4 linked regions of the Drosophila melanogaster genome follow. The protein of the gene in region 1 purifies or fractionates together with the protein of each later gene. This does not show direct contact. Each region holds a gene or a part of one and is shown in the gene's direction. Other genes may lie near its edges.

The links.
Region 2: the proteins of Rcd1 (region 1) and nsl1 purify together in Drosophila melanogaster (affinity purification with western blotting; 5 studies listed by BioGRID, with this or other methods). This does not show direct contact.
Region 3: the proteins of Rcd1 (region 1) and mof purify together in Drosophila melanogaster (affinity purification with western blotting; 2 studies listed by BioGRID, with this or other methods). This does not show direct contact.
Region 4: the proteins of Rcd1 (region 1) and MBD-R2 purify together in Drosophila melanogaster (affinity purification with western blotting; 4 studies listed by BioGRID, with this or other methods). This does not show direct contact.

What each region holds. Positions count from the first base shown.
Region 1 is NT_033778.4:14,147,508-14,155,398, reverse strand, and holds Rcd1 (reduction in Cnn dots 1), read left to right. Parts: upstream 1-2,690; 5' UTR 2,691-2,984; coding exon 2,985-3,335; intron 3,336-3,472; coding exon 3,473-3,792; intron 3,793-3,852; coding exon 3,853-4,379; intron 4,380-4,436; coding exon 4,437-4,882; intron 4,883-4,944; coding exon 4,945-5,173; intron 5,174-5,303; coding exon 5,304-5,363; intron 5,364-5,445; coding exon 5,446-6,165; intron 6,166-6,219; coding exon 6,220-6,962; 3' UTR 6,963-7,136; downstream 7,137-7,891. Other genes in the region: pea (peanuts), read right to left, coding at 1-2,150.
Region 2 is NT_033777.3:15,791,413-15,800,069, forward strand, and holds the start of nsl1 (non-specific lethal 1), read left to right. Parts: upstream 1-2,369; 5' UTR 2,370-2,641; exon of another isoform or gene 2,642-2,788; intron 2,789-3,416; 5' UTR 3,417-3,494; coding exon 3,495-4,167; intron 4,168-4,233; coding exon 4,234-5,479; intron 5,480-5,885; coding exon 5,886-6,382; intron 6,383-6,674; coding exon 6,675-7,055; coding exon of another isoform or gene 7,056-7,069; exon of another isoform or gene 7,070-7,308; coding exon 7,309-7,624; intron 7,625-7,733; coding exon 7,734-7,850; intron 7,851-7,963; coding exon 7,964-8,657. Other genes in the region: c(3)G (crossover suppressor on 3 of gowen), read right to left, coding at 1-172, 244-466, 522-1,030; Acyp2 (acylphosphatase 2), read left to right, coding at 1,423-1,489, 1,545-1,561, 1,630-1,739, 1,798-1,912.
Region 3 is NC_004354.4:5,872,990-5,879,216, reverse strand, and holds mof (males absent on the first), read left to right. Parts: upstream 1-2,363; 5' UTR 2,364-2,464; coding exon 2,465-4,948; 3' UTR 4,949-5,377; downstream 5,378-6,227. Other genes in the region: Usp30 (ubiquitin specific protease 30), read left to right, coding at 1-1,171, 1,412-1,611, 1,670-1,787; GAA1 (glycosylphosphatidylinositol anchor attachment 1), read left to right, coding at 5,961-6,138, 6,199-6,227. UniProt on the Drosophila melanogaster protein: Histone acetyltransferase that catalyzes the formation of the majority of histone H4 acetylation at 'Lys-16' (H4K16ac), an epigenetic mark that prevents chromatin compaction and constitutes the only acetylation mark intergenerationally transmitted.
Region 4 is NT_033777.3:12,350,841-12,358,282, reverse strand, and holds MBD-R2 (MBD-R2), read left to right. Parts: upstream 1-2,017; 5' UTR 2,018-2,139; coding exon 2,140-3,364; intron 3,365-3,437; coding exon 3,438-4,088; intron 4,089-4,152; coding exon 4,153-4,285; intron 4,286-4,338; coding exon 4,339-5,669; intron 5,670-5,738; coding exon 5,739-5,908; 3' UTR 5,909-6,140; downstream 6,141-7,442. Other genes in the region: CG10041 (uncharacterized protein), read left to right, coding at 6,220-6,873, 7,187-7,396. UniProt on the Drosophila melanogaster protein: Component of the non-specific lethal (NLS) complex, a multiprotein complex that promotes expression of housekeeping genes on X chromosome and autosomes.

The sequences.
Region 1 (7,891 bases):
ACATCAGTATGGATTGTCCGTTCGTGAGCCTCATCCAACATAATGACCGAATAACTTTTTAGCTCCGCCTCCATTAGGCACTCACGGAGCAACATACCGTCAGTCATGTACTTAATTATGGTTTCCGGACTGGTGCAATCCTCGAAACGAATGGTGTAGCCAACCTCCTGGCCTAACCTGCAACCGTACTCCTCCGCCACACGCTTGGCCACCGACATGGCAGCCACTCTTCTGGGTTGGGTGCAGCCAATCTTTCCTCTAGCAGTAAATCCACATTCGCCTAAATACTGAGTGATCTGTGTGGTTTTTCCCGAACCAGTTTCTCCAATCACAATAAGGATCTGGTTGTCCGTGACCGCTTTGATCAGATCATCTCGCAGTTTGTATATGGGCAACGACTGTCGCTGCTCCACTAGCGTCAGATCAGTCTTCTTACCGAAGGAGGATTTCTTGCCGCCAATGACATGCTTTTTCCATTCTGGAACTTCAGGAGGAGCAGCAGCCATTCCTCGCATGTTGGCCGCCAGGCTGCGGCTCTCATCCTCCGGCAGTGGGTCTATCCAGTTCTTATTGAGGCTCGTTGGCATAGCTTCTATCTCTTGTTCACGCTGCAACATCTTCTGCTCGCGACGCTCCTTAGACAAAGCCGACTGCATCATGGCAGCTTGAGCCAGTGAGCCATCGGGATTCTTTACAATTCTCACTGGAGACAGATCATGTAAGGCTCTACCATGCCCGGAGAGGAAGGGTGGCTCCTCTTCCACAATCTCAATCTCGATATCAGCTTCGTCGTCTTCGTCTTTCGGCAATAAGCCTGTTTCCTCGTCGAAATCAGGCATCTCACTTCTGTCCAACACACCGGAACTAATCATTTGCTTGATTTCCCAGCGCTCAGGGCTGGAGATCCTAGTCACACGTTTCCTGGACTCGTGCTCGTCACCTTCCATTCCATTGCCTTGCAAATTCAGCATCGATGTGCTGCTGCTAAAGGGGCCATCTGGATTTCGATCTCGTAGAGACTCATCGTCTTCTGGCGCGTGTGACAGTGGATTAAGATCCTTTCCAGAGTCCTGATCCACCTCTTTCATCGACAAGGACACTTTTTGACCAGTTATTGACATTACTTTCACTTTAACAGTCTGATTCCGAGTGACTACCTCCGTTACATCTGTCACGCGTCCTTCTGCTCTTAGTTGTGAGATGTGTACTAAGCCTTCCCAGCGTTTCCGCAGTCCAAAAAGCTGTACGAAGCAACCAAAGGGTACAATATTAGCTATCTTGCCGGAATAGATCTTGCCCGCCTCCGGATCATCGGTCATGGCGGCAGATGGTGGGGGCATCTTTTCACTGCAGTCCCTCGAACGATCTCTCCTATCTCTCCGTTCTGTGGAACGAGATCGGCTTCGTCTTCGGCGTTCGTGGTGATCTCTTGAGCTGGAACTCTTGTGGCGTCGATCTCTGTCACGATCGCGATCCTCGCGAGACCTGCTTCTGCGGCGATTGTCTCGGGATCTGCTGCGACGACGGCGTTCCTTGTCACGCGATCTGCTTCTGCGGCGATCAGAGTGCCTATCCTCCCGCGACCTACTTCTTCTTTTTGTGTCTCGATCCCTACTTCGGCGCTTGTGGCGGTCCCTGGAACTGACTTCTTTGTGTGGTCTTACCAATGTGGCACCCTCGCCAGGGGCCAGCGCTTCCAGCTCCATCATAGCTGCATCCACATCGCTCATATCGGTTTTTTTGTGCGTTTCGGAATGCTTCTCCGGTTTCGCCTTCACCTTCTCATCGTCATCGCTCTCCTCCTTTTTGCTGTAGGTGTCATTGGGCAAAGCGAGGCCGGGAAACATTTTCAAAAGTTGCGATTTCTTGTCTTCCTTCTTGTCGCCGACAGTTTTCTCCTGGCTAGCGCCGCCAGGTCTGCTGGGGCGCATAAGATTAATGATGCGCTGCAGGTTCTGGACCAGGGAGTCTGGGAATTCGGCGCCATTATCCAGCAAAGCCTTGCGAAATGTGTCATATGTGCGATTTTTGTTTTCTAAATCGATGATAAACTCGGCCAGGTCCTTGTCGTTGATGCCCAAGTGGTTGTCTAGCTCAGTGCAAATCTTCGAGACCAGCGAAAGGTACTCCAACTTCTGCAGCTCGTCCATGCCTACGGAGAGTACTAGTTCAGCTAAAATTTACAAAATTTGTGGAAATTTTAGAAAATTTCCCGCTGAAACTAAACGTGATCAGCTGTTTCTGCACGCAATGGTGTTGCCAGGCGCGTAAAAACAACGGAACGAGGTGGCAGCACTAGCCCCAATCACTCGGTTTCTGACGCTACGCTTAATTTCGTCGCGTTTTTGTTGTCAAAACTAAAAACAATCTCTATTTTAATTAAAGATACATCGAAATATGTCTTCGTTCTTCGATTGCTTCAATGATTTTCTGCAGAGCGGCGGCAACTTAGTGCAGAATGTGTCCCAGGAGCAGGAACAGAAAATCGCGGACCAGGAACTGGACGGCGTCATAGAGCTAATGCCGCCAACCACCCCCACGCCCAGCGAGAGTGTAAGTAACATCCTGAATAAAGGAGTAATTGCTCCACTTGCCCCACATCAAATATATTCGTTTCGTTGGCGTTTTGTTGTGAAATAGAATAATTATCAGCGCGGGGCGTGAGGTTCGGGGTAGCCGCGGTGTTGCCGGACTAAAGTTCTACTGTTAGATGTGGCAAGGCCACGTTTGGCACGCCATATTTTGCTAGAAAGAAAATTCGCAGTTGTGTACTAGGAAATACCAGAAAATCAATAAGAATTGCTGGTAAAATTGGTTAATATCAGTGCGAATCGCGAGTGACCTTTGATTGGGCCGTAGGCTAGCGCCTTGTGGCATTCCCAGCTGTTTCTTACCATCGCAAGCGCGACAACGACGTAGAAAAGAAGAAGAACATCAATTTGGGGGTACCCAGTTAACGCATTATTAATTATTAAAAATTAACTATGAAGGAATCGGGAAGTGTCAGCAAAAATCAGCCGCAGACCTCAGAGGCCAGAGGCTCGATTATAACCTACAGTCCCAGCAAATTTCTGACTAGCGTTGGAACAGGCAGAACGACATACAGCACACATACACACACAACAACAGCAACGTCGGCGGCGACAACCGCAACAAAAACAAACAATTTACCAATGGGCGGATCCAGTGCCGCTTATTATGTGGTAAAGGCTGGCTCCCTGGGCAGCGCTGCCTCCATGTCGGGTTGCATCAAAGTCAGTTCTCCGCCAAAGGGGCCGCCGATGGCTAAGTCGCCCGCCCTGGTCGTTACATCGCCCTGCACGCCAACAGAGAGTGTAATGTTTAAACTAAAGGCATCATATCACCCACTAACCAGCACTGCATGCGCCCTAAGATCCCCAACCGAATCACTCACCTCACTAATGTACCTTCTTGTCGGTATTAAACACTAATTAATGCTTTTATCCTTTAGTCCAGTACCATTTCGGCCCCTAGTGAATCCTCCTTTAGCGAGAAAATGGAGCACAGCTATATGCGAGATACGCCAGTGCGCAGCGATGTTCACAACGGCCTAACGCCCGCTAGGAACATTCTGGTCCGCCATCCGCCACAGTGTCCCAGTTGCCACACATATCCGCCGCAGCACGAGGAGCTGTCAGAGATTCAGCAGGCCCATGTGCCGCCCTATGATGAGGTAGTCGCCAAGGAGGCAATGAATGAATGCGCTCGTATTGCAAAATACGTAAAGAACAACAATTCGGATGAGCAAGATTGGGTGGCGCGCGTTAATAAGTAAGTTCTCGACCTTAGTCAATAGAAAAGCTTTACCATTCAACATCTCCCACCACACAGATTTAATTGGACGCCCATGCAGGAGATGGTTTTCGAGAAGGTCTGCTCAATTCTGGACCAGGATCAGTTGGCACGCTTGGCCAACGACAAACGTCAGCACGAGCCTATCCATCGTCGCATAAGCTCGGACAAATCCGCGTCCAGGTTTCGCAAACTTCTAGCCAGCGTGGCTTGGGAGTCACGCATTACGCAGTGGATCCATGCTCTGCTCATGGAGCACTTGTCGCCTTCGTATATGGCCTCTTATCTGGAAATTCTTCAGACTCTGAAGACCAAGTTGCCCACTTTAGTGGACAAGATGCTGTTTGGTAGGCCCTTAAATAATAGTCAGGAACTGCTGGCACCGGTGATGAAAAAACGATGGGAACCAAATATCATGCCCAAGTCCCGTCAGCTAACGCATAACGCCATCATGGTGGTGCTGCCCAACATGCCGACAACTGGAACAGTTTCGGACCGCATGCAGAAGTGGTACCAGGCATTATCTACTATCACTCAGGTGGTTCAGATTTCGCTGCCGAATACAAGTAGGTTTACTAGCAGAGCTATCTAGATTATCTTATTTAACCATTTCACTTTTATAGACAACAGAATTGGGAATCAGAATCTGGACCATGTGGCCGAAACCATTGTGTCTATCACACGCGTCAAAATCAACGAATTGCGCACAGAAAACCCCAGTCGTGGCATCATACTCGTTGGATTTAATGCTGGAGCTGCCTTGGCTCTACAGGTTGCTCTATCGGAGAGCGTTGCCTGTGTGGTTTGCATGGGATTTGCTTACAACACAATACGTGGGCCACGCGGAACCCCCGATGACCGCATGTTGGACATAAAAGCGCCGATACTCTTTGTCATCGGACAAAATTCCGCACGCACAAGTCAGGAGGAAATGGAAGGGTTACGCGAACGAATGCAGTCCGAATCTTCGTTGGTCGTAGTGGGTAGTGCAGATGATGCACTGCGTGTGCCTAAGAGCAAGCGGCGAATAGAAGGCGTTACACAGTCGATGGTTGATTACATGGTTGTCGTAAGTTCAAAATAGAATATTTGTAATGAAAATACTGTATTTACTTATGATATAAATTGCAGGAGGAAATCTTTGAGTTTGTGAACAGAACGCTAAGCAATCCACCTGGACCGCGTATGCCCACATGTTTAATGCATCAGCAGGGCTACCAGCGACTGCCAAAGCAGTCACCTCACATCCTGGCCGATGGAAACGCAAACAAGGCTGTTCAGCAGATGCGTAAGCGAAAGATGGACGGTGGTTTAGACGACTCAATGGGTCAGCCTTCCAAAACAAAGTTTGTTCCTCACAGTAAGTATCAGTTTTCCAAAATTAGACCATTAAATCGCCATAACCTTATCATCCTACCATCCATCCCGCATGTTTAATCACTAACCACTTAACCATAACGTTCCCAATCAAAATTGTTCCTTCGACGAAGATCGCGTCCACAAGCCGAAGCCACCGCGCCTCATTGATCCGTTTGCTGTGAAGCGAAAGGGTAAATTCATCTCGGGTCTTCCTCTACTGCCACTTGTTGTTTGGCTCGCCCGATTCATAAACTAACATTCTTACCCCCTCAGTTGGAAGACCCCGAACACGCCCCCTTCCCAATGTCGGTGGCTCGGCACGCTCTGTTAGCCAAAAAGGTGCACCTCATCCCGACCAACCAAAACTGAGCGGCGAAGAACCTAACCAATCCATTGAATTCATACTAGATGATGCCCAGGACTATGGAGATGCCCAAACCACTGCAGGTGGTTCAGCGAGCCTGCCAAAGGTGATAACTCCCGGTGTTTTGGGAAAACAACTGCCGCCCGTCAATCTCGCAGCTGGCACCAAGATTAAGATGATCCCATCCAGCCAGTTCGTTCAAATCAAATCGCTACCGTCACAGAGCAAACTCATTAACTACACGCTAAACAAACCGAGTGTCGGGACAAGCAGCACCGCCAACATTGGCAGCGTGGTGAAGACCCTACCATGCTCATCCGTTAGTGGCCAGCAGATCATCACCTTAAAAACGCCCTCGGGACAAACGCAGCAGTTTGCAACAGCAGCCACATCAACAGGTGCCGCTGGTTCATCGACATCAACAGGAACGGGACAGAAAAAGTACACAGTTTTTAAGAACGCCAACGGCATGACCATGCTGCATCTCACCAAGAGCGTACCCACTACAGGTTCTAGCAGCGGCTCTGCGAATATGGATTTGTCCAACATTATCGATATGCCCATTGTTTTTGCCGATAACGAAGGCAATATTCCCGAGCACCAACAGGCGGATAAGGATATTAAACCAGGTGCGTTAAGTGTTATGGTTTATATACTAGATTTTAATTAAACATTTTTCGCAGCCCCCATTCGAAGTGCGAATAAGAGCCCGTTGATCATCAGTCAGAAAATCATTAAGGAGGCAAATAAGCCCTCGGGCATGGTTACCAGTGGCAGCATTACTGCCGTCAGCAAGCCGGGGAATATTGTGCTTAACAAAGGCCTTCAGCAATTGCTAAATTCATCGCCCGGTGGAACACTTGCCACTCAGAATAAAGTTGTGTACCTCAACCGGAGTACAATTAAGCCAATGGGAAATGTGGCGCCTGGTACTCATCGTGTCCCTATAAGGATTGTGAGCACCCCAAACACCGGAGGTGCAGTGACGACCACAGCTTCCAGTAGTCCCATTATGGTTGATCCAGCCACAGGATCCAAGGTTGCCAAGACCGTCAATGTGCAGACAATCAAGCCTACTGGTTCCGTTCTGGCTCAAGGCACCATCCGTCAAGCGGGCAACGTGGGCACCAAGAGCTACCTCCAGATGATCAATACCGCACCTGGTGCATCCAAAACTGTTGCTGGCGACGGCAAAGGTTCTGTACGAAATATCTACTTTAAATCGGCAACCGGACTCAAGCAGTTGCCAGTGCAGATGCTAGGCAATCGAATACCGGGTGGCGCCGTCATTTCGTCAACCGCATCGGCATCTTCTGGATCTCCTGGCTTGCGGCGAGTGGTAAACATTGGGCCCGTTTCCAAGGTGACGGCCACGTCGACAACATCATCGTCGATAGCTGCTACTTTAACCCATAATAAAATGTAGAATTGGACAATGTTTTAATTGCGTGCCTGATACATTTTCGTACTTAGCCGATATCTGTGTAAATATGTTAAGCCATTAATTAATTAGTGATTAAGGGGTCTTGAATTACCCTCTTTCCTCAATGTCAAGGATTATAATTTCGTTCATATAAAGAACAAATAAAAAAAAGTCGACAAAAAGTTTATTTTTATTTAAGTTCTGGGAATTCGGAGAACGCTTCGCTTGCAAACCTGTGCAAATTCCATGTCTGGGATTTGGGTTACCATATAATGGTTCCCCGGTCCTATGTACAAACCTTATGCATACATGGGTGCAATTGCTGAAAAGCGACGGAGCAGTACAGGAAGCAGCAGCGGCGTGGGAAATGTATTCAAATGCTTCGGCTCGAAGTGCGTTAGTCCAAGATTTCTCTGCCATTTATGAAACCACAAGTGTGTTCACACGGCTGCTCTGCGACCAGTGCTGGTAAAACTGTATTCTGATGACCGATATTTTGCTTAGAATTGCAATTCGCAGCTCACTGCCGGCAGCTTGGAAAAAAGTCTAGAGTTTCATTGAAGTTTCGCGGGCAAGTGTATGGATGGTCCTACACATACTTGTATATATATATATATCTAAATATATATATGTGGGTTTCTTGTTAAATGCCTCTTTAGTTTGTGCAGTACACTTTAACCCATTTGAGGTATATTCTAATATATGATGTATATTTATGCAGAAAACTAATTTAAAATCTCATATCTCCTATTATTGTTTTTGTCGGTATTTTAACAATATTTAATATTTTGGTATTAAAGTGCTCTTAAAAAATTGCTATTATTTGAACGATACATAATCACGATACAATAATAATCATAAAAGAATTTAATTTAATATTTACATTTAATAAACCGTTTTTTTTTTTTGGACCTAAAGGGTTAAGTGCACTT
Region 2 (8,657 bases), on another chromosome or scaffold:
CCTTTTGTGCAGACACATCTTCAAATTGAAGCTGTAGGTCTTCGTGGAGCTCTTTGAGATCGGTAAGTTCATGTAGAATCATAGATTTGGCCACTTCTGCTTCTTCCAAATCCTTTTTATAATTCTCGCAGGCTCCAGCTAACTCACGATTCGTTTGCTGCATATTATTCAGCTGCAAAGTGAGATACACATGTAGATATATATAAATTTATATCTATATATTTTAAAATATAGTAAACTCACCTCTTGCGCCTGCAGGGCCATCCGGGATTGAGCATCTCGGAGCTCTGAATTTTTCTTCTCAACACATACTTTAATGATTTCCAGCTCCTTGTCGTAATGTTGCTCGCAGTGGGTGTACTTTTTGTTGATTTCCGTGTACTTCTGGATGTTCTCTGCGTTCTTCTCCTGCTGCTCGATAAGATCAGTTTTCAGTTGGGTCAGCTCCAGTTCCATATTTGTCAACCTGAAAGAATAAGCTCACTGCAGGCAGGAACTGTATTGAAGAAGGAAGGTCTTACTTTTCCTTCAAGCTGATATTTTCCGATTTTTTCTTCAGCGAGTCCATGGCGATGGCTCTCATTTTCTTGCTGACCACCAAGTCTTTCTTCTTGAGATTATTTAGCGATTCGTTGTACTGCTTTATGAAGCTATGAATTATTATTCCCGTGTGGGGCGACAGCTTCTGAATATCTGCCCATAATTCTCCCTCGTTTTTGGGAGACTTTTTTAGACTTTTTGTTGAACTGTCTATGGTGGCTGCAAAAGTTTGGTCTTCCTGTGTTTTTTCCACAGCCTGAGAAGTTTGCGCTTCAATTTTTGATTGCTGAACTCTAGGAGCCACTAGCGGAGTTCTTTTTTTGGATGGCTTTTCGTTTGATCTTTCGAAAAGTTGAGTTTTTACATGATCCTTTTTCCAAACAGTTGGAATTTGGCTGTTTTTTTCTTGGGCAACTGTACCTGGTTTTGGGGCTTTCGAGTGAGCTGCATCCACTAACGGTGCTCCCGATCTTTTCTTGGCGCCCGTCATTTTGCCAGCTAAGCAGTTGTATTAGCGCAACTAATTTATAAAAGAAATAAATATATATTGTACATTACAAACGTTTTGTTTAGTTTACCTAAACTTTTACCAAGTGCGTCCTGCGTTGAAAAGCAACGGTAAACATTAGCTAGAGATGAGCTTGATGACCTACAGTATATTGTTGTTCACAAGAGGTGTGTGTACTGTCTAAATACTGACCTCACGGTATTTTCTACTGAACGCCCCTGGTTTTGCGTTGTCGCCCTGGCTACGATAACTATGTTACAATTTAATAATAATTCTATTTTGGTTGTCAACATTCAGTTTTTGCTAGCTCTATTTAGAAATTTGAGTGCTGCAAGGAATCTAAGTGGCATCAGAAATCTGATCACGACTACATAATGGCGGGATCTGGAGTTGCCAAGCAGATATTTGCCCTCGATTTCGAGATCTTTGGACGAGTGCAAGGTATGCAATGCATTTTTCTGATTCGGCTTGTTAAACAGCGTATTAAATTTTGCAGGTGTGTTCTTCCGCAAAGTAAGTACTGGGAGGCCTATATATATATCTGGAAATCAACATTTAACTTATGTACATTTTTGGCTTAGCACACGTCGCATGAGGCTAAAAGATTGGGAGTTAGGGGCTGGTGCATGAATACCCGGGATGGGACCGTCAAGGGACAACTGGAGGCTCCTATGATGAATTTAATGGAAATGTAGGTACCGCTGCACTCCACTAATTCAATCATTTAACCATCGCCCACTAATTTGAAGGAAACATTGGCTGGAGAACAACCGAATTCCCAACGCTAAGGTCTCAAAGGCTGAATTTTCGCAAATCCAGGAAATCGAGGACTATACGTTCACTTCCTTTGACATAAAACATTAAAAACGAATTATTAGCTCTTTCGTTGTCCATCCAATTCCGAAACAAAGTCTAAATAAATTACCAGGGCTGCAACTTGCGTAAGCAGGCATATCTGCATTGCTATCGACTGAGTCGATAACATTCGATAGTATGAACATAAGAAATATTACGTTTCGCAAAACTGAACCCAGTACTGAAGTACAACAATAAATAAATAATAAATTATTTAAAACAAGGCGGAAAATTATTCCGAGAATCGATAGTCGCTAGTCGAAAGTGCGCACCACTCCAGTATCTACTCGATATATTGCTATCACAGCCGATAGTTTGCAGCTCCCTGCCATAGACACTGGTCATCTCGCTCGCACACACAACAGTGGGCCGCGCCACCGCCATAGGCGGCGCACGTGCAAGAGCGAGACAACCAGCTGGGCGACAGCGCACTTTGGTCTGGCACAGAAACGAGTACAGCTTCGATACACGTCGTTTTGCCAAAAGCGTAGCAGAGCAGTCTAAGCGATGAAAAAAATAAATGAGGAAAAAAGTCCGTGAAGCGAAAACCGTAATTCCTACAGTGCGAGTCACGCCATTGTGTTTGCAAAAAATATTTGCCAATTGTGCTACGGGCAATTTTTCGGAACGGCCGAATTGTGCGTATAATGAAAAAAAATACTACTTAATTTTTAAGCAATTTACAAATTCTTGCGTGCTGCCTGCCTGCTGTCGGTGTGTTCTTGCTTGCATGTGTTAGTGAGTACGATTACTTTCGCGCTGAAAACCTTTTTCCACTGCCCTTTCGCTGGAATCTGGGCGAATATAGATAGGACACAAAGCACATATAACTGATTTTTACTGCAGAATTGATCGAGACATGTGGAATACAATAAATGAGATTGTGTAAATAACTGAATATAGTGGCGCATACAGTTGCACGTGTGTGTGTGCTAGCATGTGCGTGTGTGTGTGTAAAGGCGCGAGTTTCCGTTTGCCTAGGCTAATTGTAGTGGAAAAACTCAATAAACGGAATTACATAAAAACATGGTGGCATGATCGGCAGTTTCCCGCCGGCAGAAGATGCCCAATCTTGGAAAATTGTAATTTTCGAAAGTAACCGCAATGATTTCGTCAGTATGTAAAGTAGTCTGTCAGTCCCTGCATATGTTTGTGTGTGTGTGTTCTATACAGTTTTTTTTATTGCGCATCATGGTGTGCAATAGCGCGCTTTCTGACCTCTCTCTCGCTCTCATGGGTTCTCTTGTTGGCCAAAGCGACGCTGTGTGTGTGTTGTGTACGCATATGTAGCATATGTACATAACACGCCGGAAAAGACAAAAAAAAAAAACCATTCCAAATTTTGAAATCTTACGGAGGCGGGCGGTTTAAACGAGATAAAAAATAAATACACCAATATTGTTCTTTTATATGATAACGCAGTAGTCTCGGACCGAATAGTATGCCTTTATTTTGTCGTCCTAACGCTGAATTGCCGAAAAATAATAGCCCGTTTTTGGAAAATTCTCGACAGGATTAGCATAAAGAGACGCCTTAGGAGTCGAACGAACCAAATGCCGCAGCAGCCGGCCAACGTATTAGCATCAGAACGATGGCCCCAGCGCTCACAGCCGAGCCACTAAGTCCAAAGGAGAAGCTAACCAGCACCGCCTCGCCCTCGGCCCGCAGCTCCTCGGAAAGCGGAGGAGTTGGATGTGCAGTTGGCTTGGTCAAGAAGCCGGCAACACCCACGCCGGCCACGGCCACCACGCGGATTACCCGCTCATCAGCGGCAGCGGCCTCAGTTACCGCTTCCCCGCATCTACAACAGCAGCGATCCTCGCTAGCAATCAATAACAAGCGAAAGTCGGGCAACGCTAAAGCCAGCAATGAACCAATGGGGCTGAGCACAGCCCCGACTCCACACAGCACCACTTCACCAAATCCCTCGACGGATACTGCGGCAGCCTCCACCTCTGCCGTGGAGCACAACAATAACGACAGCAACAGTACCTCCGCCGGCAACAGCACCTCCGCCGACAACAGCTCCACGCCCAAGGACAACTCCACCGCTCAGCTACTGGCGGATCTAACCATCAACTTTGAGGAGACCATATCCGCGGAGATTTGCCTGAGGAAAACCCTACCCGATGTGAGTCTGGGGAAAGAGCCGGTTCCGCCTGCCTCGGTGCTGGCAGTGGCCACAAGTTCAACGAGTGCTGGCAGCGCTCTATCCTTATCTGCAGTGGATGAGGTGACCAAGATAGAAATAGATAATATAGAAGGTGGGTCTAAGGAATCACTCCAAATAAATAGTCTTGACTCAAAATTTCTCTCGCCCACTGTTTCAGAGCGTCTCAGCCAGCTAGATGGGAATGCCACTGGAAGGCCCGAGGAGCATGTGGCACCACCTTCTGTTCCGGTACCCGTGCAGGAGGCGCCAAACACGCCCACCAGGCCACAGGCGCCACCAAGTGCCCATCTTGAGTCTCCGCAGCCGGCGCGAACACAGCAGCAGTCCATTCAACAGATGACGCCGCAAAGCACCACCAGTTCCAACAATTTTCTCAAAGACGGAGCAGCTGGTGCTGTTCTAGAGGATCAGGATATCGAGGAGGTGCTTAAAGCGCTCAAAACATTTGACGGTGGCCATGTTAATCCAGATACCATTTGCGAGTTTTTCGACGAAGTTTGGGAAGAGGCAGCACCGGCAGCGCCATTGCCGCCCGCGCCACCCGAAAATGTGGTGGATGTGCCGGGCGCGAAGCCCAGCTGCAGTGGCATCCTCGTTAGCGGCAGCAACATTTCCCAGCCGAATGTGATTATTAAGCAGGAGCAGCGGCCCTGGCAGGAGAGTCATGCTGAGTTGGAGCAGCAGCAGCACGTTATCTCGCGCAGGATCGAGTTTTTGCTACGCAGGATGCGCAAGCTCCAGGCGCGAGCGATGTGCCGTCACGCGAGCGAGGAGGTGGTTGGTATCATGGAGTGGTCTGCCCGCAGTTCCCATAAGGCTCCAGTTCCAGCGAGAAGTTCCACGCTGACTGAGCAGGAGGCCACTGTCCTATCGATTGTCTCAGGGCGTCCGAGCTCAACCTTCTGGGAGGAGCAGAACAAGCATCCGCTGCCTGCTAGCCAGATGAGTAATGTGATCCGGCATATTGCGACGGCGGCAAAGCATCAGCAAATCTGCCACTCAGCCAGCGGAAGCTCTGCTACTCTGGCGCCATCCTCCAGCTGGTACAACAGCTGCAACAGCTCTGCGCTGCCGATGAAGCGTCCACGAAAGAATCAACTTGATGCTTCGGTTGCAACGGGTGCCACACCCACTGCACCTGCGCCAGGAGCGGTAACATCTAGACAGGCAGCTGGCACGACGGGATCCGCAACGGGTTCGAATACACCGCGGGCGGATGATATCGTGCCCGGCTACGACACCTATGTGACTAATGAACTCACCCATGTGTCTGGCCTGCTGCACACGGAGCTTCGAGAAGTACAGAATGCCATCGACTCGGACGCCACGGAGTCAAGTTCTGGTGGAGAATCCGCTGACGAGATGGTAACCTACAACAACAACCAGCAGCTCTCGCTACCAATGTGAGTACTTCGTATTATTTATGTACATACTTAGGTTATCGGGAATATTTTACAAGTAAACTTTCTTCCATCTTTTTTTGAGGGGGGTTTTCAGCTTCTGTCATCTTTTTAAGATCATTCTTTTGCTATAGAATTTGTCCGATTAATGTTGGCTCGGTAGTTTTCTTTCAAAATTGTTTTGCTTTGACAGGCATTTTAAACATGATTTAACGTCGTCCTTAGCAATTGAAAAGTTGTAATAGGCTTTGATTAGAGTTGTTGTACCTAATTATCGCATTTACAATGCGATATTTCAACTATTTCAACAGTTTTTATTAAAATTGTTAATTAGCGATTATATATTTCTTTTAGCTTTTTTTTTGTGGTATTCTCTTTCCTAATGCTCTTGAAATTTGATTCTTTGCAGCACTCGACGCGCTGTCTGGCGATATTCGAGAGATCGTGCAGCCATTGCCCTGCGCTGGTCCTGGCTCTGCTCCCAGCTGACCGATTTGGAGATGAAGATCCGTCAGCACAGCGACCTTTACATGGATCTAACTCAGTCCAAGGGCGAGATCCAGCTGGAGTCCACAGCTAAGACCTCACCGTCGCTAGCACAGCCGGCAAATGGCATTAAGGAGGAGCCCGGATCCGACTACCTCTGCAGTCGGGCACGTCCATTGGTGCTGTCCGAGTTCCGCAAACGCAAGCTCTTCCAGACCACGAACATGCACACGATTTCCAAGAAAGCCGCACGCCCCAGCAACATTAAGTGTGGCTGCCAGTGGCCGCAGGTGCCATGCACACTGTGCACGGGTCGGACAGACCCTACGGCGCCCAGGGATCTGGTCGAGACGATGATGCCGCAAAACCGGGTGGCATTGCTCGATGCTGGCTACCATCCAGTGCTCAGCTTCGCCAGCGGTGAGTGGGAGGTTACACTGAGTGGACCCATTTGGTTTTCGTCCATGATTATTTCTTATCATCTGTGATGGTTTAACATTATTTATTCTACACTTGAGATTTGAACTGAATTGATTAAAAAGTAAAACTTTAAAATGCAATACTTGCAAATAATTTTTATTCGAAACTAAAACATTAAAATCCTCGTATTCTTTACATTGGATTCCAAAATGAAAAGAAATAGTCGGATGATGACAGCTAAAGTGGAATTATGTTTGAATATATTCTTATCCCTATCATTCTTGTTTCCCAGATGTCAGTCAGTCGGTTCACTTGGAGGCCGTTGCCCGCCAGCCGGACTGGCAGTACCGCGTCATGCGCAGCCAGCCCAAGGCCATTGTCAAGGCCATGTGGAAGGCGGAGCGCGAGACGATAGCCTCAGGCGGTGTCGGCGGACAAGGTGGCAGCCGGCGGTCGGGCGATGCGGCGAAGCGGCGTTATATACGACGCAAGGAGCGCAACAACAACTCAAATAAGGAGGCTGGGAGCGGAGCTAAAGCTGCTGCTGTCGCCGCAGGAGGAGCAGGCGGAAACGGAAGCAGTAGCGTCGGGGGAGGGGATAGCGGAAACGGTACTGGTACTGCTACTACTTCTTCTTCTACTACGCCTACTACAACGCCACTTGTGGCCAACAGTAAATTATTGTAAACATGACGAAATTCGATAATTGTTATTAACATAAAACAACAACAATCTTTTGCATCTCTTCTTCTTCTTTTTCTTTGCATCGATCAACCAAAACACGAAATTCCACCAACACCATCAACAAACACCACCACCAACAACAACAACGAAAAACCCCACCAATTGTTTTATTTTGCCATTCCGTTCTTGTCTCCGTTTCGTCCCCGTTCCGCATCCAAATCACGGACTTGACGCAACATCAGCAGCGGCCAGGGGCAAGCGGCAACCACAACACCCAACTGGAGCGAACAGTTCCAGCTCGCTGTGGCCAGACTCTCGCCAACGCCAACGACAACGCCACCACAGTCCCTCCTCAACCTCGATCTCGGCACTGAGCGGCGCTAAGAAGGCACGCAAATCCGCAACCAACAGCAGCAGCAGCAATTCCACACAGCAGCAGCAGAATCACCACGGCACCAAAATCAACAATCATCATCTCAATGGCTACGGCGATCAGTGGGGGGAGCAAAGCAGGAGTCGTCGCAACTCTTCGCCCTCCAACAGTCATAAAAATGAGAGGTATGTTTCGGATTCAATAACTGATCCCAGGGATTCGCGATAAGTAGTCCTGCTTTTTTTTTATAAGATAGATTGTTATATATAATTTATATGTATGTTTCCCTTGCAGAACCTCTGAGCGTCGCGTTCGTCCCATCTACGACATCAATAACATCGTTATACCCTACAGTATGCTAGCCCAGTCGAAAATGGAGATAATTCCCTACAAGGAAATACCCATACCCAAGTAAGTATTCAATTTTGCGCTAAGTCCTTATTTTATATATATATGTCGCATAATGTAAAATACCAAGATTTGTGTATATCTATTAAAATCACCCATTCCATCTTTGCTTTCAGGTGGCGCATTGTAGACAGTGATAACGATAAGGGAAAACATTCGTCAGATGAGTCAATGGAGCGCAAACTGAGCAATGGCTGTGTCGCATCAAAGTCAGAGGAGCTAGCCAAACAACAGCTACCACCACCACCAGATCAAGATCAAGAGCAGCCGGCCCTGCAGCCTCCGAAGGTTAATGGTTTAAAGGAAAATCAAGCAGTCAAGCACAATAACAATAATAATACAAACAATAATAATAATAAAAATGGACTGGTAAATGGTAACGCCAAAAAGGATGAACTTAAGGCTGCAGAGGATCACGATACGCAATCAAAAGAAGACGACGATCCAAAGGAAAAGGTGGTCAAACCCAAGCTCAACGGAAACTTGATAAAGAATCCGATTGACAAAACTGCCGAAACGCAAGACAAAATTGCTCAGCCAGCACCAGAACCACCACTGCCAAAGCGACCCAAGCTGGAAACTCCAACCTCCAACGAGGTCACCAAGGCTAATGGGCAGTTGGTGCAGCAACAGCTGGAATCCCGTGAGAGCGAGGAGGAGCCACAGCATGTCGACGAAGATCTTTCGGATGAAGCGTTTATTATGCGACATCAGCGAGCTCTTCTCGAGGAGCGACGCCGCTTCGAGACTTTCCTTAAGTTCCCCTGGAGCACCCGATCGCGTGCAAATAGGCGCGTCGATAGTCGTGCC
Region 3 (6,227 bases), on another chromosome or scaffold:
CATTGCCTGGCTGCAATTGTACAACAACGCCTCGCCGGATCGAAAAAGCTTAATTACGTCGATGTTAAACACTCTGGAAGTGGTCAATGGCACCCATGCCACTCTGCGCGGCGATCCCTATTCACCGGGAGCCGTTCTCCGGGCTCTGAATGCCCTGGGCTGGGTGATTCCACAGGAGGAGCACGACGCCCACGAGCTGTTCCACGTGCTATTGACCTGCCTGGAGGAGGAGGCCATACGACCACAGCCCCTCGGCTGTCTGTCGGATGCTCTGCCCACGGATAACGATGATAACAGCAGCTTGGCAGGCACAGCAACGCCAGTAGGGGGCTTTCGATCATTTAGCTCCATGGCAGCGGGACTGGGAGCCAGCCAGAGGATCGGGGATCAACCGAACCGGCCCTCCAGTGCCATGCTCACTGATTTCTTAAACATGGAGTATGATGAGAGCACCAGTTTGCAGCGATTGGTGCGTTCCGAGGCCCACACACCGGATTCGCCTGCCTCTGTTTGCGAACGCGACGGAAACGATCGCCTGGGATCCGTGCTTCTGGATGCCGTTTCGCCAGGGACACCCTTTGGCTTTCCGCTCGTCAGCAATCCGGATTCCTTGGCTACGCCTATGTTGGGCGGCGAGCGTTCGTCGCGACCGCGACTTCCACAATCCCAACAGCAGCAGGATGAGGGTCTGAATCGCCGGGTGTCCAGCTCCTGTCGATCGCTAGAGCGCCTGCATCGCGGACCAGGTCGGGTGTCCATCTGGTCCAACATGATGCCCAGCCAAGTGGCGCATCCGTTTCAGGGCGCCATGGGCGCACAGATCGTGTGCAATGGCTGCGGCTCCAAGTCGGCCGTTCGGTACGATAAGTTCGACAGCATAACGCTAAATCTGCCGCCGCAACGCAGAACTGGCTTGAGTTTGGGCCACTTGCTTAGCGAGTATATCACATCGGAGGATCTGAGCGATGTCAAGTGTGACTCCTGCAACGAGACCACCACGCACACCAAATCGGTTACGTTCGCTAAACTACCGGCCTGCCTGTGCATCCATGTGGCGCGGACGGTGTGGCTGCCAACTGGACAGGTGTGCAAGCGGAAGGACTATGTACACTTCCCCGAGAGCCTCTCCATGGCGCCCTACAGCTTCGTGCAGCCGCATCTCAATAGCCAGGTGAGCGTGTGTTGCATATGTTTGCCCCAGAATAACAAACTTCCCCTGTAAAAATTATCCTTATATATGATCATTTAAATACATATATCTAAAGGATATATATGTATAGGATATATCTATAGAATATAGGTCTTTCCTTTTCTAATTGGTGTACAAAGAGTAGTGGCATTCAATTCAAGAACTGTTTACATTTAGTAACTAGCATATTGTTAAAACAAACACTTTTGCTCATGATTACAGGCTGGCACTCCCTGGGGCTCGACAATGTCGCTGTATTCCTCCAGCCTGCCGATGAACAATGGCGTTGGTGGTGGCGAGGGCTTTGGCACGATGTTCCCCAAGAATCTTTACCGGCTTCTGGCCGTGGTGGTGCACTCCGGGGAGGCAAACAGCGGTCACTTTGTAACCTACAGGCGTGGCTCGTTGCGGAACGCACATCGGTATGGTTTCCATTGCCTCTGTGTAATAATTATGCTAATTCTGTGCTATCCTTATTAGGTGGTACTACACATCGGATACAATTGTGCGGGAGGTGAGCATCGACGAGGTGTTGAGCGTCCCCGCCTATCTTTTATTCTACGATCGTGGCCAGCAGAGGCAGCTAAATCTGCGCTAGTCAGGTGTAGGTCGTCGGTATTATTCTAGTCCATACTTTTGATGTGATGAATATGAATATCCGAAACCAAATCCTTTTCGTCGAACGGTGGCCATAGCAAACACGCGTCACATTTATATAGATATATATACATAACTCATATAAGTACGGGAACCCACGATGATCTGACCTATACTCGGCGGGTTCATGTAATGGTCTCCGCATAATCCAAACTCTGTGTACGGCTTATTGCATATAGGAACTCCCTATCGTAACAGAGAGCTCGACTCTTCATTTGTTATCTATGCATTTAAGATTTTTTAAGAATTCCAAATTCATGCCGTGCTTTTAGCTGTCTGTATTTAGCAATGTACACAAATCAACTACCAATAATTGTTTGCGCGTTAATTCTGTAGGATAGATGTTCAATAAAAATTTCGAAATCAGTTCCAATTTTTTAAAGTGCTTTCTCTGAAGGTTTTGGATAAATAAAATATATTATAATACTGAATGCACAGAAAAATCCAGAAGGGTAATTTCAAAAAGGGTGCAAAGTATTGTACATCGATAACCACCGATTAATAATCGATTATCTGGACATGTTGTGATAAATCAGGGTTGCATTTCACGCCGTATTTCGTTTCATTTCCCTAAAGAGTGAACAAAAATACGCAATTGGACAAATCTAGTGGCTAAGAATGTCTGAAGCGGAGCTGGAACAGACACCCAGCGCGGGCCACGTGCAGGAGCAGCCGATTGAGGAGGAGCATGAGCCGGAACAGGAGCCAACCGATGCGTACACAATTGGCGGTCCGCCGAGGACGCCGGTTGAAGATGCGGCGGCCGAATTGAGCGCCAGTCTAGACGTCAGCGGCTCGGATCAGTCGGCGGAGCAGTCGCTCGACCTCAGCGGTGTCCAAGCGGAGGCCGCGGCGGAGTCAGAGCCACCGGCGAAGCGCCAGCATCGCGACATCAGTCCCATTTCGGAGGACAGCACGCCGGCGAGCAGCACATCGACTAGTTCCACCAGGTCGTCCAGCTCCTCCCGCTACGACGATGTTAGCGAGGCGGAGGAGGCACCACCGGAGCCCGAGCCGGAGCAACCACAGCAGCAGCAGCAGGAGGAAAAGAAGGAGGACGGTCAGGATCAGGTGAAGTCACCAGGTCCAGTTGAATTGGAGGCACAGGAGCCCGCGCAGCCGCAGAAGCAGAAAGAGGTGGTGGACCAGGAAATTGAAACCGAGGATGAGCCCTCCTCCGATACGGTAATCTGCGTGGCCGACATCAACCCCTACGGCAGTGGTTCCAACATTGACGACTTCGTTATGGATCCCGATGCTCCTCCCAATGCAATAATCACCGAGGTGGTTACCATTCCAGCTCCTCTTCATCTCAAAGGGACACAACAACTGGGGCTGCCATTGGCTGCCCCACCGCCACCACCACCTCCTCCAGCAGCGGAACAAGTCCCCGAGACTCCCGCCTCGCCCACAGATGACGGCGAGGAACCACCAGCAGTATATTTATCCCCCTACATACGCTCTCGCTACATGCAGGAATCGACACCTGGCCTGCCCACCCGCCTGGCGCCGCGTGATCCTCGCCAGCGCAACATGCCGCCGCCAGCCGTAGTTCTGCCCATTCAAACCGTACTTAGCGCCAACGTTGAGGCCATTTCTGACGACAGCAGCGAAACTAGCAGCAGCGATGACGATGAAGAGGAAGAGGAGGACGAAGATGATGCCTTGACCATGGAGCACGACAACACTTCCAGGGAGACGGTCATCACAACAGGTGACCCTCTGATGCAAAAGATCGATATAAGCGAAAATCCCGACAAGATCTATTTTATTCGGCGCGAGGATGGCACCGTGCACCGTGGCCAGGTGCTTCAGTCTCGCACCACTGAGAATGCGGCCGCTCCCGATGAGTACTACGTCCACTATGTTGGTCTCAATCGCCGCCTGGACGGATGGGTGGGCAGGCATAGGATCTCGGACAATGCGGATGACTTGGGCGGTATTACCGTGCTGCCAGCGCCACCATTAGCCCCCGATCAGCCAAGTACTAGCAGGGAAATGCTCGCCCAACAGGCCGCCGCGGCGGCAGCTGCCTCATCCGAACGGCAGAAGCGTGCGGCCAACAAGGATTACTATCTGTCCTATTGCGAGAACAGTCGCTATGACTACAGCGACCGCAAGATGACACGCTACCAGAAGCGGCGCTACGATGAGATCAACCACGTGCAGAAGAGCCACGCTGAGCTGACCGCCACGCAGGCGGCGCTGGAGAAGGAGCACGAGTCCATTACGAAGATCAAGTACATTGATAAGCTGCAGTTTGGCAACTACGAGATCGACACCTGGTACTTTAGTCCCTTCCCCGAAGAATATGGCAAGGCACGTACGTTATATGTTTGCGAGTACTGCCTAAAGTACATGCGCTTCAGGTCGAGCTATGCCTATCATCTGCACGAATGCGACCGCAGGCGTCCGCCCGGAAGAGAGATCTACCGCAAGGGCAATATATCCATTTACGAGGTGAACGGCAAGGAGGAGTCACTATACTGCCAACTTTTGTGTCTGATGGCCAAGCTCTTTTTGGACCACAAGGTTCTATACTTCGACATGGACCCGTTTCTCTTTTACATCCTTTGCGAGACGGACAAGGAGGGCAGTCACATTGTGGGCTATTTCTCCAAGGAAAAGAAGTCGCTGGAAAACTACAACGTGGCCTGCATTCTGGTATTGCCGCCGCATCAGCGTAAGGGATTTGGAAAGCTACTAATAGCCTTTAGCTATGAGCTGTCGCGCAAGGAGGGCGTAATCGGTAGTCCGGAGAAACCGCTCTCGGATCTGGGTAGGCTGAGCTATCGCAGCTATTGGGCATACACGCTGCTGGAGCTGATGAAAACCCGCTGCGCTCCAGAGCAGATCACAATCAAGGAGCTGAGCGAAATGAGTGGCATCACCCACGACGACATTATCTACACGCTGCAGTCCATGAAGATGATCAAGTATTGGAAGGGCCAGAATGTCATTTGCGTTACGTCCAAGACCATTCAAGACCACCTCCAGCTGCCGCAGTTCAAGCAGCCCAAGCTGACCATCGACACCGATTACCTCGTCTGGAGTCCGCAAACTGCAGCGGCAGTGGTCAGAGCTCCGGGAAATTCCGGCTAGCATACGGAACCTGGAGACCCCGTTCTGCTATCATCGCATATAATTGTTATTGACGATGACGATTAGGTTTTTTTTTTTTATTTTTTTTTAAAGAAAGCGTAGGAATAAGCTATTCTATTGCACCCCTCCAAACGAAAAATGTATAGTCATATATCTAAATGGAACCATCAGAAGGTTCAATGTAATACTTAACATTTGGTTTACAATTTTTTTTTTTTATAGTTAAGGAGTTTTACGGATAGGCTGTTGTAACTCTTAATGATAGAACCAAATGTCTAATTCGTTTGGCTAATGTTTTTGGAGAGGGAATTTGGAACAACCATTTAAAAATTTTAAAAACTTCTGTGTTCTTGAAATATATATCTTTAACTACTTTATCTCGAAAAACTCTGGACTTGTTAAAAACCAAATAAACTTCCACAGCAGCCGATATGCCGACGCCTGAAGAGAATACATCTCTATGAACTCCTTACACGTAAGATAGCATAATCTCTCCACGGTACATTTTTATACACTATAATTAAGGAAGAGAATCCATAATATCTTTTAGGCTACACATTAGGTTAAGTTCAGAAAGAACTGAACGATTCCTACTGACTAATGAACAATAATAAATGATTTAAACTGTAAAAAAGAAAAACTCCAATCTGAGAACATGATGTACTTTCTCAAATAAATGCGTCGTTACATTAACGTCAAAAAGAGGAAAAATTAAATAAATATTTACAACGACAGGTTATTCTTTTCATTATTTTTGCAACACATTTCTTGTAGGTTAGCTTAATATGTATATTTTGATATAATAAAAAATATATATAGAAATATCGAAAACATTGGAAAAACAAGTTTAAAATTTCGAGCATTAAAATCCATTGCTAACCCTCTCCTCCCTAGCGTCATAAGCAATCGGTTATCGAGGTTATCGATAACGCCCGCATCGATACAATTCCGCCGGCTTGTCCGATTCGTGTTGTTGTGATTCGGGATATATACAGGATATAGGGCAGCCAAAATGGGCCTGCTGTCCGATCCGTCGATATCGACGCAAAGCAAGCTGGTGGACGGACTGGCGCGTCATGTTCGCAAGGTGTGCTACGCCCTTTATGTGGCGGGTGTGGCCTGGTTCTTCTGTTTGGCGCTGCCGGAGTTCAACCACGGGACATATCTCTCCGAGAATGCTCTTTCGCCAGGTGAGTTACGTGCAGCGTCACCAAAAGAGAGCCGCTAACAATTGGTGTGATCTATTGTAGGCTTGGTCTATCCGGAGATCCGCATCGAT
Region 4 (7,442 bases), on another chromosome or scaffold:
TCCACATATTAAATTTCAAATTTCAAATGACCGGCGTGCAATGCTGAACGACAAAGAGCAATAAAAATTATAATAAATTAGGCAACCCATTTACATGGTCAACACGTGTATTTGCTTAAGCCATGTCTTTCGGGCAAGCATAATTTATTTAATTTGTGTGAGCTACTCGGCGTTACATGAATTCCCGTGGGCACTCTCAAGCCCAAAATGATCATCATCATTTAGCGATAATATTTTTGGGTAATAATCATGTGATAAGGAACCGGGAAACTGGGCCCAACTGTCAAGAGACGCGCAGCCAGCCTATTACCGCATTGCATGCCCTCATATTTACGCAATGAGTTCCCAGACGGTATCGGAATGGGGATCGGGATCGGGAGAGGGAGAGGGAGAAGGGGCTGACTTATGGGCTATGCGGCTGGGACCGATGAGATGAGGCTGGGGAATGGGCCTGGCCAATTTGTCGATGAGTTGGGTAAATATTAAAGGAGAAAGTGCCGCCGTCAGTTGGACCAAAAGTTTTGTACTCTCCTTGTACATATTTCTGTTTTCGGTTTTCTGTTTTTGAAAAATATTTTTGCACAGGTTACATATTGTTGAATTATTTGCACAAAAAGAGAGTGAGGTCAGGTGCAGTCGTCCCAATTTCATCGAGTGTCGATAATTTATGCAAATATGTTCACTAATAGTTATGCAAACGGAAATCTAACCGTGTTTACCACCCATTTTGGATTTCCCTTCGAGTGGCCCCCTCAATGTCAGTTTTTGACTGACCAAAATTTATAAAATGCTAAATTATTCGGCTTAGCAACGTCAATTACTCACGTTATTTAATATTTATGTCAGCTGCATATGACAATAAAAGCATTTTATAATTAAAGTTTGCTTTATGCTCCAGCCGTGATTTGATTACAAATATTGGCAATCCACTGAATCAAAGTCAACACCATTTGATATTGGCTCCGTGTCAATTTCGCAAACACGCCCAAGATCTAAAAGTCAACCGATTGACCCAGAGACCTCGTTTTCAGGGAAGTACCCAAAAACAGGAAGCTCTTCGACCGTGAGTTTCCGGCTATCATTCTAAAACAATATTTGTAATGGAACTAAACTGTTTAGTTACGGAATTCGAGGGGTCAAGCCACATATATACATAAGATATTGACACAATATAGAGAATCTTAATATTTTATTCTTTCAAAATGTGCCATCACATTTTCCTCACATATTTCGATTTGAAGGCCAAAGCTCCATACTTCAATCGATTTTTTTGGCGGCTCAATCAACCGATCAAGCAGCAGGCGCCACATTTAAATTTGTCAGTTGTTTCTTGCATGCTAATGACCGGGTGAAATATTGTAATTAAAAACTACAATGAGTGTTTATTTTAGCAGTATGCGTAAATAGCTGCTCCTCAAACTTTGAAACCCAGTGTTGAAATACATATTTCCAGAAGCATTTGTCGAATGGATAATATCGTATTTGGTTAGCTTTTTGCAAGGTGTCTGCCTTTTGGCGAACGTGGTGACATGTAAGCCCAAAAGCGTACATTAATTGCATTTCAAATAGGCTTTCGGTGGCCTTGGGAACGGTGGCGTATCGGCACGTGATCCTTTTTCCGCCGAGCTGAGGAAATTTATGGCACCCTCACTTCGCTAAAATGCATTAACGCACCGATTAATATTAATTGTGCAGCGGGTATTTACCAACTTTAATAGTTAATTTATGGCAGGAAGATTGATGTAAAGTTTCATGAAAATTGAGATAGTCAGAAATAAAAAGTAATTAAATTCAACCTACTCAGGCTCTAAAGTAATATTTATTTATTTATCGAAAGTAGTATTTATTTATCACCACAATAAAGATCTATGCAATAAAGTCATTTAAAATTTATTTTTTATAAAATTCAAAAAATATCGTTAAATAGTTTTGAACTTTTCCAACAAGGTGGCAATATCTAACTATCGATAGTTTGCCGACGCACACGTTTTTACTGTACCCCAATTTGGTATCACTAATTTATTGCGCTGTATTTTTCTGGATAATTTTCGCGTCGTTTCCTGGATTATTTCATCACTTAGCAAAGTGTGCGTTTGCACATAGGCAAACAAAATAGAGAATTGGGTGAACTTCATCGCCATGGGCCGCCGGTGCTGCGTGGCCAACTGCCCGTCGACGTCGCGTCTGTTGGAGCACAACGGCGTGACTTACCACTCCTTCCCCCTAGATCCCATCATCCGCGCCATATGGATCAAAAACTCTCGCATCAGCCTGGAGCGCCAGATCACCAAGAGCGTGCTGGTCTGCTCACGCCACTTCCGCCGTTTGGACTTCAACACTATCCGCAATGGGAAGTATCTGCTCAAGCCGCGCGTCTTTCCCACCGTTTTTCCATGGGGCAAGATGGATACCGCGGAGATCGAAGCAGACCAACGGGCACTTCAGCACGCCAGCGTGGAGGGAACGACTGAAACCCCGGGAAATGCTCAGTCATCGACCAATGACGATGTGATCAAAGCTACGGTAGACCAAATAGTTGCGCAAATCCTGTCGGAATCTGCAGAACGCAAGGCCACGGAGGAAGGTAAAACAGGCAAGGCGGCGGATGACGTTAAAAATACTCCCGAAAGTGGAGAAGATGCAAACAAGGCAGCTGCAAAGGAACCCTCAGGGACTCCGGTAGCCGCAAGCAGCGAAGCCACAGTCCCAGCTCCTGGATCCGCTTCCAGTTCGAACTCACCTTTGCCCGGCACACCGCCCAAGTACAGCAACCCACATAACCTGACTATTGGCGCCCGTTTGGAGGCGCTCAGTGTGGAAGGCAACTGGTTGCCCGCCCGCATCGTGGAAGTTAACGAGACGGAGCAGACGCTACTCGTGCGCTTTGAGCGCAATCACAAGCTAAAGGTGTCACCTTCGACCAGCGGCAGCTTTCAGGAGTGGATGGCCATCAAGTCGGAGCGGCTGAGGCAGCGCCTCAGCAACCGTGTGCTGCCCGTCTTTGAGCTGGACGAGAAGTGCATGGCCCGCTGGTCGGGGCCGCGTAAGTTTCCAGGAACCATACGCAAGTTGCTGGGCAACGATACCTACGAGGTTCTCTTCGACGATGGTTACGTTAAGAACGTGCGCGCCGTGCACATGAACAAGATGCCCAAGCAGTTGCCCCCTGTTCAGGTAGCGGAAGAGGGTGCCTCAAAGTCACCCACTCCTGTTGGAACTCCAGTAAGCTCTGCACCTGTGGCTCCGAAGCGGGCGAGCACAGGCAGCCTTGGCGGATCCAGTGGCTCTTCGGGCAGCAAGAAGAGCAAATGTGCACCTCAGCGCAGGGATTGGCCGTTGCTGGACATGGCCAGTTTGGATATAGGTAAGAGCACCGAAAGGAGAATGTTAGTTTTGCCTTAAACTTAACTTTCATGTTTGACTTTCGTAACCAACAGCATCCCTTGGACTCCCAGAAATACCGCATGACGGCGAGTGGACTTGTCATTGGGTAAATGACCAGCCTATTGGAACCGAGGGTTTTCTGATTGTGGGCGAGCACCAGAAACCCACTGTTATCGTGCAGGATTGGCGTCTGCCTCCTGGCTGGATCAAGCACATGTACCAGCGGTCCAACGTCCTCGGCAAGTGGGATGTTATTCTGGTCTCGCCCAGCGGCAAACGTTTCCGCTCCAAGTCCGACTTGAAGTTGTTCCTTGAGTCCCAGAATCTGGTCTACAACCCGGATGTGTACGACTTTAGCATCCATCGACGTCGTGCCAAAGACATCAATGCTTACGTCTACACACACGGCTACAATCCGCAGCCACCGCCCAAGCCCAGGCCCATGGATGTGTCGATGAACTCCACGCTGGACCAGAGCATCACGTCGCAACATTCTTTACCTTCTACTCCGATGCCGGTGAAAGAAAGCCAGTACATGGAAGCACCGGTGGCCTCGCTTATGCCACCAGCTGAGTTAATGTCGCCGCAGACGCAGCCTGCCGATGAGACAAAGCCCAAGATAGAAGCAGAAATACTGGAAGCCAGTGAGGGAGGTACCTCTCAGCTTATGTTAGCAGATCCTCATGTGGTGGAAAATGGCTTTGGTAAGTATATGCAATTTGAAATAACATGTGCTATATTAAAATAAATTATAATTCCATATTTCAGCTTTCATTGGGGGCCTAAAAGTCAAAATCCAAGACAATCTTTATGTATGCCCGCGCGAAGATTGCGCCAAGACCTATCGCAAAGAAGACTTTCTGCTAATCCACATTCGCCATTATCACAAGGAGTTTGCAGAGTGAGTAATATTCATTCAAAACTCATGACACCTAACTTACTTTAAATCTACAGACACGTCAGCCACTGTCCAAAGATGCAGGAACTAGCGGTCAAACGTACGCACCCCTCATCCATCGATCAAGTTGAGGCGGTGCCAAAAAACCAAATACCCAACCAGCAATTCTTTGCCAAAATGCACCAGCAGGATTTGCAGCAGTCACGATCGTTTAAACGACAGAGTGTATCAGCTACGGCCACATCTTCAACGCCATCTGACATAACGCCTACTAAGGCCCTGTTATCTCCTAAGATGGAGCCACCAAGTGTGTCGCCAACTGTTGAAAGTGGCATTAAACAAGAAGATGTTTCTCTGGATGCTGGTCCAACTCAGTCGTTTAATCCTTCATTGAGTCGTTCCTGCAAGCGTGCACGCTTGTCGCCGTCGAAGCGGCCATCTGGCTCGCGAAAGAGTAACCGCCAGCGCTCTCAGCGTCGTCCCATTTTGTCAGATAACCCGGCTGGTCATGGCTTAACCGAACAAGATGTTGAGGAGACACGGCAATCTTTTAACACCCCCACTCCGGATACGCGCATCGACTCGAAAAAACGCCGCAGTGGTGCGGCAACAACTCCCATCAGTTCCATTGACTCACCAGCCATGGGAGATTCGGTGTCCACGCCATCATCTAATGACCAGACCGACATAAATGCAGCCCTTGCCCCACCACCAGCTGAAACGTTAAGCAAAGCACCACAGTACATCAAGGAAAATGGTGAACTAATTCGAATTGTGCGCATGCGGCAGGAGGAGATCATTAACTGCATCTGCGAGTATGGCGAAGAGGACGGCCTAATGATCCAATGTGAATTGTGCCTATGCTGGCAACACGGTGCATGCAACGGAATTGTCAAAGAGGCAGATGTACCGGACAAGTATGTGTGCTACATTTGTCGCAATCCGCAGAGGGGTCGGGATTCTATGAGATTTAAGCACGACCAGGACTGGCTATTCGAAGGCAAGTTGCCGGTGGCCGCGTATCACACTGCAAATCCACAGGCCACCAAACAATTCGAGCTCTTGAAGCGCTCGCACACGCTGACCGGCAATTTGCTAGATGCCAAGCGATCGATGCACTCGCTGCTGGTGAAGATTAACATCGCACGCAACCGCTGTCATCCGAAGCTTTATCTATGGGCCAAAAAGTGGGACGAAGACAATCTGGACTCTACTGCGTTGACACCGGTTAAGCGTGCAAAATTGGAGGCCCCCGACCTTCCGAACGTTCCGCAACCGGAAGCTGCCATCGATCCGGAGGAGTGCCAGTACCGTTTGATCGAGCATATCAAGGTGCAGCAATCCTTGGTTCTCGATCGGCTGAATGACATAGAAGCCGAAATGGACGGTTAGTATCCAAAACTAATTTTTGTCACGAGTATATATGAATCTATATATATTTTTGAATTTCTTTTAGAACTTGAAAAGGAGGACACGTTGGATGACTTAAAGGACGCTGACATCTCGACCACAAAAGAGGCGCTGGCCACGTTTATTAAGGAGCTCGAAACCATGAAGCGCCTTGCCAAGCTCAACCAGGTGGCCAATATGAAGCAGACCCTCAGAGATTCTGCCACTAGCAAGTAGCATTTCTATTGATCACGGTTATAGGGGTCTAATGAGGATTTTCTTTTAAGCTATTTTCGAACTGTTTCCATAATTTTGCAGACGTGTAGATAGTAACCGTACAAGCTTTTTCTCTTCAAAAAAAATATTGCTATACTTTATAAAGTTTGATAATATAATGGAATTTAAATGTATATTCTTTTAAAGTTAACCATGTGAGAATACAGAAAATTATAATTTCATGCCCAATTATAAAGTTAAGATGCTTGATGATAAAACCTGACTACAAGACGTCTTTGTGACGTCTTTGTATTCGTGACTTGGTCGCAGTTATGTGTTGTTGGCAATCTCTTTGCTCCATAGCTTGGTTCGCCGCGATGTCGGCAGCCCAGGAGACGCTTTCCGACACCCCGCAGAATAGCACACCTTTGTTAGCCACAACTGTGTCGACCACGAAGGTGATAAGTTTCCGCCCTCGTTATCCATACATCGTCTCCATAGGAGAGAACCTTAAAGGATACTACAAGCACCTTTGCGTGGGCGTTATACTTTCGAATGAGTTCGTGCTCAGTGCAGCCCACTGCATCCAAACGAATCCAACCAAACAACTGTACGTGGCTGGTGGCGCCGATTCGCTGAACAGCCGGAAGCAGACCCGCTTCTTCGTCGTGGAAAGAAGATGGCATCCCCAGTTTAGGGTGCTCGGCGGCAACGACATTGCCGTGTTGAGGATTTACCCCAAATTCCCGCTCGACGATGTGCGATTTCGTAGCATTAACTTTGCTGGAAAGCCTCAAAGGGATAGTGGCACCCAGGCCTCGCTGGTTGGCTGGGGTCGGGTTGGCGTCGGCAAGATAAGAAAACTCCAGGAGATGCCCTTCTTGACCATGGAGAACGATGAGTGCCAGCAAAGCCATCGCTTCGTTTTCCTCAAACCGCTTGACATCTGTGCGATGCATTTGAAAGGACCGCGAGGTCCCTGCGACGTAAGTGGATCAGAAATACGCCAGAAATTCATAATCGAAAATCAATTAAAATTTTTTCAACAAAGAATATGTTTTCCAATTAAATTAAACAAACTACATATAGGTACATTTCAAATATTTAATCATTATAAAATTTGAAACTAGAAAACATATTCCAGTCAAATTCCTTGGTTTGCAATACGTAGCAATTTTTAAGAGGTATTTAGGATATTATTTATAGAAGTCCTATAATTTCTTACCAGGAACAAACACCAATGCTATAAAATAATTTTTATATCAGTTAAATAAGAGTTATTTTAATTTTACATTTCAGGGAGATTCTGGAGCTCCCTTGATGAATGTGGCAAAAGAGAAGCTGTACGGATTACTTTCCTACGGTCGAAAAGCCTGCACCCCATTAAAACCCTATGCCTTCACTCGCATCAACGCATACTCCAGCTGGATTCAGGAATCCATGGACTCTATGGCTGCGAGATTAAAAGTCTTACAAATTAATCGCACTGTATGGAAAGATGGGTTATAGCAGGTTTTACAGAAATATGTATGATCTTTTCTATCTAGGGTTACAA